2 linked regions of the Macaca fascicularis genome follow. The protein of the gene in region 1 purifies or fractionates together with the protein of each later gene. This does not show direct contact. Links are inferred from orthologs where the notes say so. Each region holds a gene or a part of one and is shown on either strand. Other genes may lie near its edges.

Evidence for each region.
Region 2: the proteins of USP49 (region 1) and CETN3 purify together in Homo sapiens (affinity purification with mass spectrometry; 4 studies listed by BioGRID and IntAct, with this or other methods). This does not show direct contact. The link is inferred for Macaca fascicularis from reciprocal best matches to the Homo sapiens genes USP49 and CETN3.

What each region holds. Positions count from the first base shown.
Region 1 is NC_088378.1:129,762,943-129,773,252, reverse strand, and holds part of USP49 (ubiquitin carboxyl-terminal hydrolase 49), read right to left. Parts: intron 9,114-10,310; 5' UTR 9,031-9,113; coding exon 7,675-9,030; intron 6,066-7,674; coding exon 5,861-6,065; intron 2,063-5,860; coding exon 1,954-2,062; intron 1,053-1,953; coding exon 847-1,052; coding exon of another isoform or gene 749-846; exon of another isoform or gene 566-748; intron 1-565. UniProt on the Homo sapiens protein: Deubiquitinase that plays a role in several cellular processes including transcriptional regulation, cell cycle progression or innate immunity.
Region 2 is NC_088380.1:94,402,032-94,412,441, reverse strand, and holds the start of CETN3 (centrin-3), read left to right. Parts: upstream 1-4,028; 5' UTR 4,029-4,154; coding exon 4,155-4,171; intron 4,172-5,994; coding exon 5,995-6,130; intron 6,131-8,037; coding exon 8,038-8,152; intron 8,153-10,410. UniProt on the Homo sapiens protein: Plays a fundamental role in microtubule-organizing center structure and function. As a component of the TREX-2 complex, involved in the export of mRNAs to the cytoplasm through the nuclear pores.

The DNA of each region.
Region 1 (10,310 bases):
TGTGCTAGGCAACTGCTCTTTTTATTTATTTATTTGAGTCAGGATCTCACTCTCTTGCCCAGGCTAGAATGCAGTGGTGAAATCACAGCTCATTGCAACTTCAAACTCCTGGGCTCGAGCAATTCTCCCACCTCAGCCTCCCAAGTAGCTAGGACCACAGGTGCACACCATTACGCCTGGGTAAGTTTTTACTATGTTGCCCAGGCTAGTCTTGAACCCTTGGCCTCAAGCAATCCTCCCGCCTCTGCCTCCCAAAGTGTTGGAATTACAGGCGTGAGCCATTGCACAGGGCCTAGGTCCTGTTCTAAGCACTTTTACATGTCAGTTCCTTTTAATTCTTAGAACAACCATACGTTGTTACTTAGTAATATACCCAAAATTTGAATCCAACTTTCATAATTCTTTTTTTCTTTTTGAGATAAGAGTCTTGCTCTGTCACCCAGGCTGAAGTGCAGTGGCATAATCTTGGCTCACTGCAACCTCTGCCTCCCAGGTTCAAGCGATTCTCCTGCCTCAGCCTCCTGAGTACCTGGGATTACCAGTGCCCGCCACCACTCCCGGCTAATTTTTGTACTGTTTTAATAGAGACAGGGTTTAACCATGTTGGCCAGGCTGGTCTCAAACTCCTGACCCCAGGTGATCCACCCACCTCAGCCTCCCAAAGTGCTGGGATTACATGTGTGAGCCACGGCGCCTGACCCAACTTTCACAATTCTTGCCATTGGATTTTCATGTATGTAATTTCCCTCTAGGTAATCCATGGGATGGAAATAAAAGGAAAACAATAAAATGTGGACAAATAACCCCTTTCCGTGTCCCCCACCCCACAGAGTAAAGCGCACGCACCTCCCTCTGTGTTGTAGCAATAGGCTGTGTAGTGTCCTGAGCCAAACCCTTTCCCGTGATGCATGACCACTGCGGAGAGATCATAGGCAAAGGTCTCTTTGTCAAGAGAGGAGAGCATGTCCCTGCAGCAGTAAGGTTCCATGGTTAATACCTGGTCAAAGACGACATGGACCCCAATCTTCTCTCGATGGTTACGGCCAGACCACCTAGAACATGGATATAAGCTTGTTACTAGTAAAAACCAGCATATACAATTGTAGGTAGAGGTAGGTATTAATAAAACAGGGAACTGAGAAAATTAAACCTTCTGGTTTTGGTCTTCCCATCAATAAAATGGTGGTAATCAATGTTCACATTTATTTATTTATTTATGTATTTATTTATTTATTTATTTACAGACAGGGTCTCACTCTGTTGCCCAGGCTGCAGTGCAGTGGTGTGATCAATAAAGGCTCACTGCAGCCTCAACCTTCCCAGGCTCAGGTGATCCTCCCACCTCAGCCTCCCAAGTAGGTGGGACTATAGGTGCACACCACCACGCCTGGCTAATTTTTGTATTTTTTGTAGAGACAAGGTTTTACCATGTTGCCCAGGCTGGTCTCGAACTCCTGAGCTCAAGCAGTCTGCCTACCTTGGCATCCCAAAGTGCTAGGGTTACAGTCATGAGCCACTGCGCCTGGCCCATTTATTTGCTGTGAATGTTCCATGAAGTACTCTAAACCTAGAGATCCCTAAACAAGCAATTCAAGCAACAGTCTTTTTGTAGTTTCCTGCCTGCCCTTCTTTTCCAGATTATTTTATATTTCATCCTGAAGATGAACCTCTACATAAGTCCAAGCCAGGCTAGAAAATCTTTAAGCACAGATACCCAGTGCAGGCTGGATAATTAATTACACAGGCGCATGACAGCAAAAGCCCAGTCCTGCTGGGCTCCCACATTAATTTGCCTTAGTGGATGTGAATGATTTAATCTCCATGGAAAACACAAGGTCTCAAGTGAACAGGCTTCCCCTCCCAACACCATAGAAGACATTTGCCCTCACCAAAGCCTTTGGAGCAGCTATTCCCACAGCTCTCACCCAGCTAGGACTCCCACAGCAAGCTCACCTGAATCTTTTAAGGTGCAGCCGGAGAACCTGAGGTAGTCTGTAGATCATTAACTGCTTTCTAGCTTCACTCAGAACAAGGGGTTTGGGATTGGATTTTCGTCGTTTGCCTATGTGGTTTGGGAAGGTATAAGACATAGGTTGTGAAGAGTTTTTTCTAGCTATGGCAGAGACAGTGACTTGCCATTCAATATGCATTCTCCATATTTCTAAGTACCTGAACCTCAATTTTTTGGGGAGTGCAATGTGACCCCCTTTATGACTGCATTTCCCGGCTTCACAAGCCTGCATGGTGTGGCCATGGAAGTTCTGGCTAAGATGAAAGGAATGACTGTATGGGACTCTGCTTATACAAGGCTGACTCACTTGTAAGGTGCATCCCTTTGGCCTTCCCACTATCTGAAACTACTGGAATTCCTCCTGGACCAAAAGGTAACTTTGAAGACAGAAGTCTTGCAACAGGATAGTAAAACAGAAAGACAGAAATAGCTTGGGTCAATGATGACCATGCAGCCACCATGCTGGCCCTGAATGTCCTTCACACTTGTTTTATGTAACAGAAAAATAATACCTCTCATTTTAAGTCACTGTTATTTGGGTCGACTGTTACAAGCAACTCAAATCTTTCCAATTTTTGCCATCAGGAACTTTGCGTATAATGGAATATAATGGAACGTGCAACAGCAAGCACACAGAGTAGAAGCATATGTTAAGGCTCCATGTCTTTACAATGGCTTATAACTTCAATTATGATACCCCACAATATGATTTTAAGAAGCTTTTTGTTTGCACTAGGTAAGCCTAATTCTACTTCCTGCTCACAACTAGTTGTGTGCTAATGGATAAGTTACTCAAAACTCTGAACCTCCGTTTCCTCACCAGTAAAATAGGGAATAATGCATATATTTCAGGCTTAGGAAAAAAAGGATAAGATTACTAAATGATAGAGTATTTAAACACATTTTTCTTTAGCATGATTTGCTTATGGCATATTCAAACATTTAGAAAATAAACTGTTGGTTCTATATTTTTATGCTGTGCCTAGTTTTTGAAACATATTTCCTAGATAAAAGCACATTGCTGGACATACAAGGACAAAGCTGACAGGTGGCTAAATTCATCTACTCCAAAGCAGAACTAGTGATCAGTCTCTAATTTTGTTTCTAAATGTGGGGGAAATGCATTTCTTGAACTGCTGGCCTCAAGCAGTCCTCCCACCTTGGCCTCCCAAAGTGTTGGGATTGTGGGTGTGAGCCCACTGTGCCCAGCCTTTAGGAAATGCATTTCTAAATTTCAGCAAATAAACAATGGAAACAGAGTTATCTTAGTTTCTATCAGAAGCCTTTCCTGTAACCATTTACTGATGGCTGTTTTGTTATATTAAACTGGTAAATGGATGAGAGTAGAAAATTAGTGTTCTATGGCAGTCTCTGCTAATTGTCTTGAGCTGTTGATATCATGGGCTCAGTGTCTGAAGAGCTGGGCATCTGATTCCCAGTCCTGTCTGTACTACTCATGAAAGGTAGCAAATCACAGCCAGATGATGTATCACAGAGCTTTCTGTGACAATAGGATGTGGAGGTGTAGCTTCTCATAATAGACTGCATCAGAATGAGTTGTGCCATAGGAGAAGCTTTTACCAGGGTGTGTAGTCACAATATGTGCTGGCATGAACAGAAATGGAATTCAAAGAGGGGCTTGGCCTTATTTTATATTCCTATTCACCATTTTTTTGAAAATTACTGCAGCTCTGGCTAGGAACCCTGGCAGTGACTACCACCCTCAGCAGAGGGAGTATGTGAGCTAAGATGAAGACAATATAGAGTCAGGCTTTGTTTCCCTAAAATGAAATTCACAAAGAAAAATAAATTACTGATTCAATTGAGATTGATCAGTTCTGTCTCCATTTCATTAAGCTGTCCAGGAAGACAGGTAGAAGACTGACAGTTTTGAAACTTCACAGGCAACAGATCAATGCATCTCATCTCCTCACCATAGGTTTCCTTCTCTGGCATTATTTGCACTTGCCTAGAGAAATCCTGATAAATTGGCACATCTGACAACCAAAGAACAATCCTTTCTTGTAAAGATAAACCAAAGTTATTTCTTGCCTAATCTATCATATCCAAAAATGATGGAGTTAAAGCTGTTAATATTCTTTTGTTCATTACAAGTAAAAGGCTTCAGGAATCATTGGGTTTTTTTGGTTTTTGTTTTTTTTTAATATTACTCTAATGAAACAATTTGATTCACCTGACTCTGTATCTCAAAATGGAACAGGATAGGTGAGTCTACAGTTAGCCAGGTATAAAATTTCAAATTTTCTTTTGAAATGGCAAAATGATATCGAGCATAACTTTGTGGGTTGTTTTTTTTTTTTTCTTTTTTTCCTAAAAGAGGTCTTGCTGTGCTACTCAGGCTGGTCTCAAACTCCTGGCTTCAGGCAATCCTCCTGCCTTGGCCTCCCAAAGTGTTGGGATTACAGGTATGAGCCACTGCACCTGGCCTCAAGCCTGACTTTTGATTTTTGTTCTGATTCTTCAAAGAGTGGAACAGGTTTCCCACAATTTAGCTTTTTTTTTTTTTTTTTTTGAGACAGCATCTGGCTCTGTCGCCCAGGCTGGAGTGCAATGGCGCCCACCTTAGGGCCTCCCAAAGTGCTGGGATTACAGGCATAAGCCACTGCACCTGGCCTAACATTTTTTTTTTCTTCAAAACTGGTAATCTAAACTATTATGTGACTGAAAATGGATTTCTAGGTCTCTGTACAATCCATTAACTTTATACTTTTAGTTTCCAAATCTATATATGCCACAACCCTCAAACATAAGCATCCACATATTTGCTCTGCATTTCGTCTGTCCATACTGGGTTAGCAGAAGCATTAAGTGTTAGTGTGGCAAGACGGAAGGGCCCTGTATAACACGCCTCTGTAACCATATGTAAAGAGTTCCATTTTAAAATTACAGACAACACAGAAATACTTCCTTATGACCCTCTCTGAAATGTGAACTTTTCAGGCATGTGAAGAATAAAAAAAATGCAGAAAATATTTCATGAAGCTGCCACTGAGCAATGTACCTTAAGACTTACTTTCTTGGTTCCACTGTACCAATCTTTAGCATCACTTTTGACAGACATTAAGTCTGCCAGTTCATTACAAAAGCATGCTTTTCTGATATCGCATCCCTCAGAAAGGCTATTCCATCTGGGTTTAGATTAAGTAAGAACTGTTGGACTCTACATTCATTAATTTACGCAGCAGCCCCATAGCACTAATAAGCTAAGTACTAACATTCCAGAGTCCCCATTTCAGGAGCCACACTTTAAAATCCCTTCCAAGATGACAACTAATGTCAATCAGGAGGTCAATCAACTCCTAGGTCTTTGTTTCATTTTTTGTTATTGTTGTTGTTGTTTTTTGAAACAGAGTCTCACTCTGTTGCCCAGGCTAGAGTGCAATGGCGTGATCTCGGCTCACTGCAGCCTCCACTTCCCGGGTTCAACCAATTCTCCTGCCTCAGCTTCCCGAGTAGCTGGGATTACAGGCACCTGCCACCACGCCCAGCTAATTTTTGTATTTTTAGTAGAGACGGGGTTTCACCATGTTGGTCAGGCTGGTCTCAAACTCCTGACCTCAAGTGATCCGCCTGCCTCAGCCTCCCAAAGTTCTGGGATTACAGACACGAGCCACCACGCCCAGCCTTGTTTTGTTTTTTAATACATAATTAAAACAAGTCCATGTATTTTGATTTTTAGAAAAATGGGAGGAAGAGATCTTTAAAAGATGCTTTAGAACCATTCAATATCATTAGTGTTACTTTTGACTAAAGAGGACAAAGCAGCACGTTAAACTGATATTCCAGTTATACTTCCCCACTACGCCCCCTCCTCCACACAGCACTCACTGTTACACTGGTCACAAGCGTAGATTCTTCCTTCCAGGGCCTCTGTCTCTGTGAACTTGGCCAGCATCTCAGTGAGCAAGCACTCTGTCTGATTCAAAGGGACAAACCCCTTTTCTATGCAGTGATAGCGTTCAGGGAATTCCAGGGATAGGTCCCAAAAGGGCTCAATGGTATTAGATTTGTAATTGCATGATATACATGTGACCTAGAATGAAAAGATTGATTTACAGATTATGTAACTTCCATGCTTCCTGCGTACAGTTTTACTTGCTTCATAAAAGACACACTTTATCAAAACTAAGTGTATAATTTTCAAAAAATAGTAATATTAAAATAATAAACATAATTTTAAAAGAATTAGAGTATATTACTTCTGATGTACATTTCTAACTATGGGATGCTAGCTGGAATTTAAAAACCATACTGCATAGAGACTATACCAACCCGCCTTTCTCCTCTCCCAAAATATGCTCTAACATTCAACAGTACAGTAGCACAGACTGCAAGTTATTATGCAGTCTCTCAAGGGATCAGTCTGATATAGAGAATCTGCAGGTCCCTGCCTACTTCCCTCACTCTGTAATTCCTCCTCTTGACTTTAGACCTTCCATAGAGCCCAGCACACCTCTCTTTTTGCCTTTGTTACTTGCAGAAGCCCTACACTGAACCCCTCTGTCTGCACAGCCTCAAAATGCTGTGATTAGACCTCCATTCCCATTATAACCTTCCCAGGTGCACCTTCCTAAGGGGAGGGGAGACAGAAGAAGTGCTAATAAATACTCCCCTTTTACATGCTCAAAAACAAAAACCTAATTAAATTTTCCCTTTCCATACCATTCATCATTCTTTCAAAACCCTAAAAACCAAGACACAAGCACAGTGTAGAGGTTTTACCTGAATCTCTTAAGTTGCCCACCAATCCGCCCCCCAACACGTTTTTTGTTTTTTGGTTTTTTTTTTTTGAGACAAAGTCTCCATCTATCACCCAGGCTGGAGTGCAATGGCGCGATCTCGGCTCACTGCAACCTCCGCCTCCTGGGTTCAAGCAATTCTCCTGCCTCAGCCTCCCAAGTGGCCGGGATTACAGGCATGCACCACCACGCCCGGCTAATTTTGTATTTTTAGTAGAGACGGGGTTTCACCATGTTGGCCAGGCTGGTCTCTAACTCCTGACCTCAGGTGATCCACCCCCCTTGGCCTCCTGAAGTGCTGGGATTACAGGCGTGAGCCACCGCGCCCGTCTTTTTTTTTTCAAACTATAAGAATACTCTTTCTGCATATTCTCATAAGGCCTTATCTCAGAATCTTTGCTTAGGTTACATGGCTAAAGATCCAGGAAATGTAATGGGGAACAGGAAGGAGGCTTGCATTGGTCTTTAGCATGCTCCTAGCTATCTTCCTTCCTTGTATGTAAAGAAGGGAGACAGCTCTTTCAAACTATTATGGAACCAGAGTTACAGGCAAAATCTGTTCCCTAAAATTGATCAAAGGATGGCACTCCAACAATGAGTACTTAATTATAACAATGAGAATATTATATTACCCATATCTTCAATAACAGTTAAAGATATTCACTGAAAATTAAGCAATGTGGCAAGTTAAACTAAAAATCTGGCCGGAAAGACACTAGGCAAGTTTCCCCAAAAAGCCATCATAATGTACAGTAGAATAAAAGGTACAATGGCCACCCTCAAAAATGCATAATCACAGCAAATGTTGGCTACTCTTATTAGCCCAATAACCAGGGGAAGGCACTCACAGGAAGCCCAAACTAACATACAAGCCTCTCATTGTCATGGTAGGCACACACATACCTGACTGAGCAGCTGCCCATGAAATATGGTATTCACCACCTTTAACACCTGTTTGGTGAGCTTCCTCTGGGAGAAAGGGATGAGGATCCGGCGTGTGGTGCCCTCAGACTCGAGTTCCTGCTGCACCTTGTGCAGCAGCTCACAGAGAAATTCCTGCGCGTCCTGTTGGTCGTAGCCGCGGAAGGCAGGGATTAGGCTCCACACTGAGTGGAGCATGGCGAAGGGCGACACTAGGGCCCACTTCCCGGACCACATGACTCGGAAGAGGGTGTGCAGTTCACGGCAGAGGGAAATGTGCTTCGAGCTTGGCTCCTTGTTCTGGATGAGCTCCAGGCTCCGACTAATGGAGGCCCCGCCGTTCCAGCAGAAGCCCTCCCGCTCGCATGCCTCGGCCCTGTCACTCCTCAAGGACAGCTCTGTGGCTGAGCTGTTGGTTGGCTTGCCAGAAAGCTGAGTCTTCCCGTTGGTGGCTTTGGGAAACAGATGTTCCGTTTTGGAAGGGTCAAGGTTGAGGAAACATTCTCGGAACTTCTGGAGGTGGCTGAGCACCTGGAGGATGGAGTTCATGTAGCAGGTGTTGCCCAGGTTGCGCAGGCCCGTGACGCCCGGGGCCACGGCAGGCTGGCGACGCAGCTTGAGCGTGGCGGCGGGCGCTCTGCGTGAGGTAGGGAGGGTGGTGGGGCGCGAGGCGGCCGGGCCCGCGTCGCTAGGCGTGTGCAGGAGCAGCCGTGCACTCTTACGCGGAGGGGCGCTGGCCAGCTCCTCCAGCAGCCGCCGTTTCACCTCGCGCCGCCGCCTCCGCGCTTCCTCCTTCTTGCGCTCCAGCGCCTCCTCCTGCCGCCGCTGCTCCAGCTTCGCCTGGCCCCGGGAGCTCTTCTCGAACCACAGCCGCAGCGTCCTGGCCAGCAGGCGCTGGCGCCGGTACCACAGAGCGGTGAGCATCTGCGGCTGTCCCTGAGGAGCGCGCTGCGGCGGGACCACGTCCTCACCCGAAGCCGTGGACCGCAGCGTCCGCCCGCGTCTCACCAGCGTGTCCTGCTTCTGGCCCCGGACCGCCAGGAGGGAGCTTCTTAGCAGCTTCAGGTCGCCCTCTGGGTTATCATTGAGCACGTAGTCCTTGCACAGGTAACAGAACACGTAGAGATCCCGGACTTCCATGGCTAGCGGGTGTCCAGTCTCTTCAAAGTGTTTCAGGGCGTGGTCCTCAATGTAGCGGCCGCAAGCCACGTGGGAGCACTTGAGGCAGGCCCACACCGACTCGGTGGTGGCGCACTCTAAGCAGCACCACTTCTGAGGGTTCAGGATGGAGTGGTCCTGGGCGAGCCGTAACCGCCCTACATGTTTGCATCTATCCATGTCTTATAGAAGTCGCCACTCTCTCAGCCTGTCACGACAGTCCCCCAAAAAGAAAAAGAAAACTCTTTTAGAAAAATGTTTTCCTAAAAAAAAAGAAAAGAAAAAGACTTGCAATGGGTATTTCAACTCTAGATTCATTCATTTTCAATTCCAAATTGGTTCCTTTGAAAGTTAAAAAAAGGCACATTTGGTATAAAAGCAGAGAATTACAGGACAGTTAAATTACTTAAAAAGGAAGAATCTTACGGAAGGGTTAGCACAAATTTGAAACTTTATGGTGTTTCACATACCAGTGGGAGAGATGAAGAGCCTCAAATAAAAATGTCAATTTTAGGTCGATTGCAATATTTTTCAAGCAGAGATAAGAGGATATAAGATAAAAATAAGAAAAAGAAAGTCCTCACCAGTATAAAGTATAATTTTTATGAGACATGACAAAGGAACATTGTATATGTGGTTTTTTTGTTTTGAGACGGAGTCACTCTGTTGCCCAGGCTGGAGTGCAGTGGCTGGATCTCAGCTCACTGCAACCTCTGCCTCCCGGGCTCAAGCGATTCTCTTGCCTCAGCCTCCCGAGTATCTGGGATTACTGATGCTGCCCCACCACACCCGGCTAATTTTTGTATTTTTAGTAGAGATGGGGTTTCAATATGTTGGCCAGGTTGGTCTTGAACTCCTGACCTCAGGTGATCCGCCCACCTCGGCCTTCCAAAGTGCTGGGAGTACAGGCATGAGCCACCGCGCACGGCCGTATATGTGTTTTTTAATGTTTTATATTTTTTATGCATTTTTTTTTTTGAGGTCGAACCTCGTTCTGTTGCCTAGGTTGGAGTGCAGTGGCGCAATCTCAGCTCACTGCAACTTCCGTCTCCCTGGTTCAAGCGATTCTCCTGCCTCAGCCTCCCAGGAAGCTGGGGTTACAGGCGCATGCCACCACACCCGGCCAATTTTTTGTATTTTTAGTAGAGACGAGGTTTAACCATGTTGGCCAGGATGGTCTTGAACGAACTACTGACTTCAAGTGATCTGCTCGCCTTGGCCTCTCAAAGTGCTGGGAATACAGGCATGAGCCACTGCGCCCGGCCTGTTTTTTTAGAGACACATCTCACTATGTTGCACAAGCTGGTCTTGAGCTGACCTCAAGTGATCCTCCCATCTCAGCCTCCAAAAGTGCTGGGATTACAGGTGTAAGCCACTGCACCCAGCCAACATCTGTCTTTTTGAAAAGAACATCTGCATCTTGCAGTAAGGGTGGGAAAACTTTTACCTTCTTTACTGAA
Region 2 (10,410 bases), on another chromosome or scaffold:
ATTAGTCAAATAATGAATTAGTCTTCCATATTTTTTTCCAAAATTCTCCATGTTTTTGTTTGAATACTGCAGGTTCTGTGATATTTTTTCAATTAAATCATCTTGCCATTTTAATTTTTACATTCATATGTTTATTTTCAACAGACTTTTCTTATTATCTGATGTTCCTTTTTCAGAGTATTTTGTTCTCTAATATTTTCTTGAGTACTTCTTAGGAAGCTTATTATTATTAATTTCTTATTATTTTATTTTGGTTCCTTAGCTGACTCAGAGTCTTCCTGAAATAGTTTTTAGTTTCACCTTTCATGTTGTTGATTTTCACATCTCTGATGGTTTTTCATTCTTCATTCATTTTAAAGACTTGGGCCAGGTGCAGTGGCTCACACTTGTAATCCCAGCACTTCAGGAGGCCAAGACGCAAGGTGGGAGGCTGCTTGAGCCCAGGAGGTTGAGTGAGGTTGCAGTGAGCTATGATCTATGCCCATGTCACTGCACTACAGCCTGGGCAACAGAGAGAACCCCTGTCTCTAAAAAAGGAAAAAAAAAAAAAAGAGTGGAGTTCTAGATAGAGGTAGAGACAAAATACTGGGGAGAGGAATCTGGAGGAATGGAAGTACAGTGGTTTCCTAAAGAGGTTTTAAATTGGCATTTTGTATTTAGCCCCCTTCTCATTTCACCTTCTACTGTAAAAGAGAACTCCATTCCTGGAGTCTCTCTGGGACTTTGCCAGGCAGATCAACTCTCTGTGAAACATCAGTCACCTCCGGAAAAATTATGGGATGCCACTTCCGTGATCTGTTTCATTTGTCAACAAGTTTCCACATTTCTTTTGATCTTTCCAATAATTTTTGAAATACCTAGTCTGCTGATGGCCCCTCTCCAGGTCACTTCAGCTTAACAAATTTATTGGCTAGGCATGGGAACTAATTCCTGTAATCTCAACACTCTGGGAGCCTGAGGCTGGAGGATCACTTGAGACCAGGAGTTCTAGACCAACCTGGGCAACATAGCAACATAGTGTAAAATTAAAAAAAAATTAGCTGAGCATGATGGCATGCTTCTGTAGTCCTAACTTTTCAGGAGACTGAGGAGGGAGGATCCTTTAAGCCCAGTTCGAGGTTACAGTGAGCTATGCCACTGTACACCAGCGTGGGTGATAGAGGAACTCTTGCTTTATTACGGCTTTAGGAGGCAGACTAAACACTCATGTCTCTACCTTCTCAAAGCAGAAATTTTTATTTACATTTGCTGTCTCTGGAATTTCTGGTCTGATTACCATTGTACCAAATACATTTTACTGTCCCATAGAGGAATTTTTGTATTATTATTCTTTTTCACAGTTTAGTAAGCTATTTTTATGCAACTGTTGTTGGATCTTTGGAATAATTTTGTTCAAGAAAAATGAGAATTTTGATTGCATCGAATTTAGATTTAAATGCGTGTAATCACCTGTCTTATCTTTAGAAATAGATGATCCGACCCCAAATTTCAGCACAGCAGTTTTCCATCTAGAGATTTGTCTGACTCCTGTGAAGCAAGAAGTGGTTGTCACTAGTTCTCACTAAATATAATAAAAGTGATCCGTGTAAATTCCCTGTCACTCTTAAAAGGATACCCTATTGAAAACATGTTAAAATCTGTTTGCCCAAATTATTTGCTTATAAAACTCACTCTGAGACCAAAAGCATCTCACAAAATTCTAGTGTTTCAGGAATGAGGTTTGAGAAACACTGGTGTTTAAGTATTTTGCCGATCATATTTTAAAAAGTATTTTCTAAACCCACTTTATATCCTAGTAGAAAAAGTGTTGCCTATTATTCAGTGCCCTTTTGACACTGAGATGATTTCCTTAACACTATATTTAACACAGATTTATATTTTGAATTATCTTTGCACTTAACAAAAACAACAAAAAACTCAATTTGGTTATAGAGAAATGCCCCTTTAAGACAGTATCAAACTGATTTTGCTAACATCTAGGAATTTTGCACTTAAATTCACAAATGAACATCAAATATGAGTCAGGCACTGGGGATACAATGGTGAGCAACATGTATAGCCTTCATCATCACTAAGCTTACACTGAGTGACTTTAAATGTTCTTTTAGGATGTTAAATATTATGGCAGCTTCAAAAATTAAGCTAAGAAGCTCTCCATCATTTTCTATTACTTGAGTTTAAAGCACAAGATTTAGCTCTTAGGATTTTTACCCATAAATCTGAGTGGGCTGGAGGCTTTTTATTTGAGGGTACAGAAATTTGGCATCTTTTTTTCAGTCCTGTCTGTAGTTATTGACTTAATTCAGTTTTCCATCTTTTTTGAGTTATGTTTTCCTTGAAAAGTGACTATTTCATTTTCTATTAATATTTATTGGCAGTATAAAATTGTATAAAATATTTTAATAATTTTTAAACCTCCCTTTTGTTAAATTACTAACCTTACTAGTGGCACTATTCCTTTTCTTGTTACATTTCCTGTCTTTGAATTTCACTGGTATTGCCAAAAAGCAGCTTTATACCAGACTATGAGCACTTTATCAATTTGACCAGTTTCCTTTTAAAACGTTGTTCTCAAACTTTACTAATTTCCTCTTCCTAATTTCAATTATACAATTTTGTTCTTCATTTCTAACATCTTCAAATAAATGCCTGGTCTATTTTTATTATTTCTTATTTAAAATAATGTTCTCCTATAGTTTGGTCTGTGTCTTAAAATGTTAACATATAGTTTTTTTCAATATCACTATGTTCTAGTAATTACAATTTCTCTTTCCTTTTAGACTCAAAGGTGATTTATAAAGGTACTTTAAAATTTAAAATACGAACAAAATAAAAGTTCCGCTTTTGTTTTTTAGGGGTGCTATCCCTTAGCTAATTTTTAGCTTGTTCTATCATACTATCTTTACTTGTGCAAATTTAGCCCATCCTTGTAGGTCTAACGTTTATGCCACCTCTTTAGGAAGCCTATCTTGTGCTCTCTCCCTTCTCTAAAATTTTATATACATCCCTTAAACATATGTTTACATATTCTCCGCCTTCAACTCCCATTCTCAGGCTATTTTATTCCCGTTTATGAGATTTGCTGTTTAGCTCAGTATTTTGTGGGTTTTCAAAAGATTCCACTCAATTTACCGAGCACCTATGCACCAGACATTTTATTAGGTACAAGGAAAAGCGTTAAATAGATATAATCACGGCCTTCAAGAAATTGAACCTGGTAAGGGAGACGAATAAGTAGACATTCAAGTGAGCTTTAGGAGACTTGGTTTGGTAGTGAATACAGTCTCACGTGTATTAACAATTTACAGCACCGTAAAATAAGAGACAGAAGCCAACAAATCCGTTTCAAACAGTTCAAAGGAGGAAAAGGAGAGGGAAGGGCGGTTTAGATACAGCATCACCATAAATAGCCTGATAATCTAACCCTGTGATAATCCAAGTATAGTCACAGCACCTGCCTCAGAATCACTTGGAAGGCTTGTGAGGAATACAAACGCAGATTCATACCTACTGAAATTAGAATGGAGAAAGGGGCATTTAAGTCTGCATTTTAAACACATTCCCCAGGTACTGAAGCCATCCAAAGTTTTAGAACAGAGCACAGCCACGCTTCGCAGACCTTGTTCCTCAACTACTGCCTCCTTCTAGCCGGAGGGTGGCCTGCAGCGTGTCCCTTCCCTTCCCACCGTCCAAGTTATCCATCTAGTTTTCGAACGTCGGCCCACAGACCGCAGGACAATACGCGAGAGACTAGGAGCACCCACCACGCAAACCACCACACAGGGATCGGAGGCCGGACCCGCAAAGGATTCGGGGAAAAAGGCATCAGGCCAATCCGAAGGGCGAGAGCGGCCCTAGGAATGGAGGGGCGGGGTGGGTGGCGGGGGGGGGGGGGGGCGGGGAGAGAGAGGTTTTTTTTTTTTCTTGATTGACGTAAAGCGTACCCAATGAAAATAAAATTGGTAAAGCTTCCGCCATAATGGGCAGAACCATAGCGACATTTCAACCAATCCAGCTCAAAAGTGTCTATGTTGTGGGAGGTCCCTGAGGCCGCTGAGGTCGTTCGTGTCTGTTGAACGGTTGTGGGAGTCTTGCTGCTTTGGGTAGGGGGTTAAAATCGTTTCTTGAGAGGAACGACTCTATCCGAAGAGATAATGAGTTTAGCTCTGAGGTCGGTAATAAGGAGGCGGCAGTGCTCTCCACACCCCGGAGCGGGACCTAGGGAGGGTGTGTGTGGAAGGGAGGCCGTTTGGGGCCGTGGCGAGGCAGGGGATGCTGTTTGGGATGCGGGAAAGGAGCCTAGGGCAGCCTGTCTGGATCACTCACCCTCTGGGCTCTGGTGCCCTGCAGGGAACGAGACTTCCAGTGCATTTCTACTAAGGAGGTTATTTCTGTCAGCGCGTAGGGCTTTGGACTACCAAAAAAATGGGCTTAGTTGCGAGCGAGGGGGAGGGAATGAAATATCGCGAGGCTTCTACTCTGTTGCTCTGAGAGATCAGGCCGCGGAACATCCCTTCATTCAATTCGTATGCCTGGCCAGGGCCCCACCTCCGCTGCTCTGCTGCTGATGCAATCATCCACCTATAAATTTTGGAAATAACAAAAAACTCTTTGCTATTCTCCCAAGGTCCTGCTTTACGGTGTAATTAGAAACCCATTTTAGTGACTAATTGGCAAACTGTCTCTTGGATTTCCTGTTTCTTTCATTTCTTTACCTTTCAGTTCTAACCTCTAACCCTCTGTCTGTTACCCGCTCCCCCTACGTAGACGTTGTACCGTAAAACTATACATATACTTAGGACACTCTAAAAATGTTCCATGTTCTGCTAAGGGATAATCATGGTACCCTTGGATGGGGTCAGGGGTGGGTCGGTTCTGGACTTGGCCTCTAAAAGTCTCAGGAAGGAAAAGACTGACCCCAGGAATACCCAAGTTTGTGTCAAGTCAGGTCTCATGAAAGGAAGATCTTCCTCAGCTTTGTCATACTGCATCTACTGGTCACTTCCTAGCCTTTTTTTTTTTTTTTTTGTAGCGTTCAGAGACCAAAACGACTTTCAAATGCAGCTAGATACGTGTTTTAAATACAGTCAACTGGTTTTGACATGTTAATGTGTTACCAGATTGTGTGTTTCAAAACTTGTTCTTATACCAGTGTTGCGGCTCCATTGGAAAACTTGGAGCACATTTAGATGGGCAGCTCTTACGGAAAACATTTCTGGCTTTAAAGTAATTTTTGCTTTTTTCTTTAAGCGTTTCCAGAGTTTATGAGAAGTTTAACCTCCAGTTTACATCTTAAGTGAGATAAGACTTATGAAGCACAAATATTGTATACTTTTTTGACATCTAATATTTGTCATATGTTTAGACTCATTAATATTTTGGGTGATTTGTTAATATCAGTGGAGGAAATGACACATAAATTGCCAAACTGTTAGAAACGTGTAATCTAAAAACATTTTGAACCAACAGTCCCAAAATATAAGTTAATCCAGTTGTATTTTTTGTAGTAATTTTATGAACTTAATTATCAGAACTATCAAAAGTAAACCGATATATGGTGATTGTCAGTTACGAATTTTGGTTTCATTTGGAGATTTTTTGGTTTCTTTAACATTCTTGTAGAATAATGTGAGTGTTTTTGTTTTTTTTTTGGTTGGAGTTGGTTGGAGTTTCAGACATAAACGTAATGTTGCTTATTCACAGTTCTTGAATAAATAAAAAGTTAGGGAAAGTGGGAATAAATAAAAAGCTGGGAAAAGGAAAAGTTTGGTCCTCATTTCTTTTAATAATCTGTAACACTCTTTAGTTTTGGGAAGTTCATATTTATAGCAATTTAGACTATGGAATAAACAGGGCATTGACTCATAAAGGGAAAGTTTCCCTGTCTTTCTCCAAAGTACTTTCTTTTTTGAAATTTAGAAAATAATTATTGGCTAATTTCTGTTAGTAAAGAGAATTAAAGTGGACTAAGGGCTTTTTCTTTCCATTTCATAGAAGTGAGCTTGTAGTAGACAAAACAAAGAGGAAAAAAAGAAGAGAACTGTCTGAGGAACAGAAACAAGAAATTAAAGATGCTTTTGAACTATTTGATACAGACAAAGATGAAGCAATAGATTATCATGAATTAAAGGTAATGGTATACTTTAAAATACTTGTTTCTGTGTTAAAATGATTTGCATTTTGACAGTTGCTTTACATTACATTTCTAAGTAATTATTTTAACTAAATTGGTTTTGGAACTATGAAGGCATTTTAAGCATTCATAGTTAGATTCTATAATAATACTGAATAGAACTCCTAACACAGTTTTTAGAAAATCTTTTTCACGTGATAAAACGAATAGCATTTTAAATGTAACAATACATTCCTAGGGAAGGTGCTTATTTTTCACTGACATAATTAAAGGATTTCAAACTGGAATTTAAACTATTACCATATTCTTTTCACTGTTTTTTTTGTTTTTGTTTTTGTTTCTTGGTGACTCATACTGTTTTCAGATTGTGGGATTGTTGTCTTTTAATCTTATAATTTGTATTTGTTAGTAACATAGTCTCAATCCACTTTCTGTGGTACAGACAACTTCAGTGCTGTTTGATGTTGACACATGCTAGTAGGTAAAAATGTCAACTTTAAGACCTAGAATGTCAAGGTGTAGAGAGGGATTTGTAAATTATTATTTGTCAGGGTATAAGGAGAGATTTGGGTTTAGGGTTGAGTGGGACTTACTTTCAGCACAGTGGGAAAGATAGTATTTTGAGATTTTTAATAGCCTTAATGGATAGGTGAATGTAAGTGTTTATTTGATAGTTTTAATTTTTGTAATTTCTTAAGGGATTTTTAAGCATTAGAATTCCAAGTAGGGATACGAACTATGCAGTGACAGTATAGAATGTATAAAAACAATTAATAGGCCTGTAAGTCTAGCTTTCTCAATCTTGCAGTCCTCTTTAGCTCTCTTTTCCCACTGTTTTTTGTTTTTGTTTTTTGGTTTTGGTTACCCAGATTTGATCAATTCTTCCTTTATAGTGTCTCTTCCATTAGTAACCATTGACTGGTTTCAGACCTTATTTCATACCTGGAGCTTCCTAAATGGTTTGTCTACTTGTAGTTCACCTTGTATACTACTACCACTGAATTTAGATAGTTTAAAAAATCTTTCACCATTGCTTATAAATTGTTCGTTGCTCATAAGCCTTTACTATTAATAACTCCTCATTATATACTACTTAAAGTTCAGATTCCTTTGCTTTCTACTGAATGTTCTCTACACTTTTGCCACCAACTACTTTTTTCATTTGCTAACTGCTTTCTTCCTCCCAAACTCTTCTAATTCACGTGGAATTCACCTTCTAATCCAGGTGAGCAGTTTATCTCACCTGAACTCTTCTAATTCAGGTGAGGTAAACTGCTCTGTTCGTTGTCCTTCAAACCTATTGTTCATTTCAGTGTTTCTTTTAATACTAGTCATCCTTCCCAAATGCCCTACTGCTCCTCTTCATCTGTCCTTCAAGGAACAACTTGAATCTTTCCAAATAAGACTTACCTAGTCAGTAACATGTTTCCTTCCTTGTTACTAGTAACAAAGTCTCTTTTTTGTCTAAACTCAGGGTCCTTCGCCCTATTATTAACCTAATAACTAATCATGGAGATGCTGATGATAATTCTTATTTTAATGTTTTATCTCTTCTATCATATAACTTTAATATTTATGCTATGCCTTTTTCTCATTTTGGTTGTTATTCCCGTGATAACAAATAGCAGTCAAATTATCTGTGCAGTAAGTTAGTGCATTTTATATAGTAAACACTTGTTGGTTACTTTGTCATATAAAAATGCAATTTATAAATGAAAAAACTTATACATAATTTCAGTAGTGAAGAACAATTACACTGTCACTACTATTTTAAAGAGGTAAAACATGCAAAAAAGTTATATTTTACTAATGTGTTTTTATCTCTTAAGATGTAAAAACTTAATAATTAGAAATTCTTTTGTAAAGATTGCTTTATAATTTGCTTTTCCCTTTTAATCCAAAAGGTGGCAATGAGAGCCTTGGGGTTTGATGTAAAAAAAGCTGATGTACTGAAGATTCTTAAAGATTATGACAGAGAAGCCACAGGGAAAATCACCTTTGAAGATTTTAATGAAGTTGGTGTGTATTTTAATAGTCTTTGTAATCAGCAGCTGTTAGGAAATTGTCTGATTAATATGACTTTTTAAATTTTAAATTCTCTAGGTTATGGAATTTTCTTATAGAACACTGGTGTATAATGTGACTCTTACTCAGTTTTGTTTGGGTTATTTTACTTTTTTCATTTTCAAAGAAAAAATATGGCTTTGCTCTGAGATTTATAGTTTTGTCTTTTGTTTTGTTGTGAAGATTCTAGCCAAGGAACTACTGTGTAGCTTTTTATGGAAAGATGCTTTTCCAAGTTATTTGTATTTATATTATGTGATAAAACTTGAAGGGTGATCAAAAAATTATTTTTGCTCAGTAAAACAGAAAATTTGATATCCTGCTGTTTGGAAAATGTTTCCCAAGACCTTTCTGGTATGTGATTTTTGCTGGCTAAGTGGGAGAAGAGGGAACTGGTAGTAGTTGGTATCTTTGGCCCTAGATGAAATGCGTGACTTCAGGTTGACAAAGTTTATGAGAGGCTACATCCTCTGGATGACCTTGATCTTAGTGGATAAAGTCATCTGTTTAGAGGGTAGTAGTAAAGGAGGCAGTGGGCATACTGCAAGCAGGAGAAAACATCCTGGTACCACCAACTGAAGATAATGTGTCATAGGCTTAATATGGCTAAATTTTTGTGTAGTTGATTTTAGTGAATTATTTATAGCATACATAGAGCAGGCTTTTTCAAAATAGAAGAGTCTGGAAGGCAAGGGCGTTACTATTGTCTAGGATATTACCTACAAAATATATAAATATTCAGGTTTATTTCTATTTTTTTCCCCCTAAACCAATGGGTCACGATATAAGCACATCATATAAGTATTTTAAGATATTTGGAAACAAATTCTGTTATATACACAAACCCCTTCTTTTAAATATTCATCAAGAAGCAATATGGGAAGCAAAAAGAAATGGCAATTAGTATACGCAGAGAAAATTTAGATTCATGTCATTAGTTTTTTGAATCCAAACGCTCAAGTCAAAAGCAGTTGAGATGGAAAATAAATGATAAACCTAAAAGAAAAAATACAGCACAGAAGATACTCAACTTACGAACTAATATATGACTGTTTAGAGAGGCAACTTGTCTGTTGGGGACATTTTCCTTTTTTTCCTCTAATTTGTAGAATTTTTTATTTGAGGAGAAGGAGAGAGCCACCTTTTGTTCTCCCAGAATGGACACTCTCCTGAAGTTTATAATCGTAGTATTCCTAGTTTTACCTTAGATTGTTTATTTGTAGAAACAAGATGTTAGGATACAGTGGAAATGATACTATTAGGAAGGAGCTATAATCCAGGTATGTTTAGTACAGTATAGTGGTTTAGCACTTGGAACCAGATTCTGTTGGTTCATACCTTGGTTTTGCCACTTTATAGCTCTGGAACTTGGTCTTTTTAATACCCTGTGCCTCATTTTCAACTATAAGGTGGGGATCATTGTACTCTCTCATGAGATTCTTCTGAGGATTAAGTTAATAACATGTAAAGTACCTAGAAAAGGGCCTAGCATGTTGTAAGTGCTACTAAGCATTTGTTATTATTATTACTTTAAAAAATTGTCTCTGTTTCAGGGGCTCAAAATAATCATATATGCATCACTGGGACATAAAATAGACTCTGTGTATACTTTTTATTGACTTTTTTTCATAAAGGCTATTGTAAGCACTATATCATCACTAATAATTTTACAAAATATTTTATTTCATCTTAAATGAATACAATTTTGAAATTGTGATTTTTTATTGGCAGTTGGGACCAGAATCCCATGCCACCTCCACTTTTTCCTGATGCCCTATCTGTTCTATGTTATTAACAGAGCAGAAATACTGGGTTCCTTTAGAATAAATAGATGTGGCTAAACTTCAGCTTTGACACTCAAAGATTAACCTTTTGACAGGGTCAACACCTATCTTAGCTATCTTAAGGCTACCTATGGAGAGTACCAGGTGTAAAATAAAAATTTATTACTGTTTGGGAATCAGTCAAGAACTATGTATTTCCCCTTTTGTTGATTATTTTTAACTAATCACTGACCACAGATTAATATGTTTTGTACTTTGGGACAAATGATTCTAAATCTTAACATTTGAGTCCTAGTTTTATGAACTACTCAAGGATACTGTTCCACAGATATATCTGGATGAAGTTTGGCAGTTAACTATTATAGATTCTTCCTAGTACTGGAAAAAAGCTTTAAAATATATTTAATGTAAGTTTAGAGTCAAGACAAC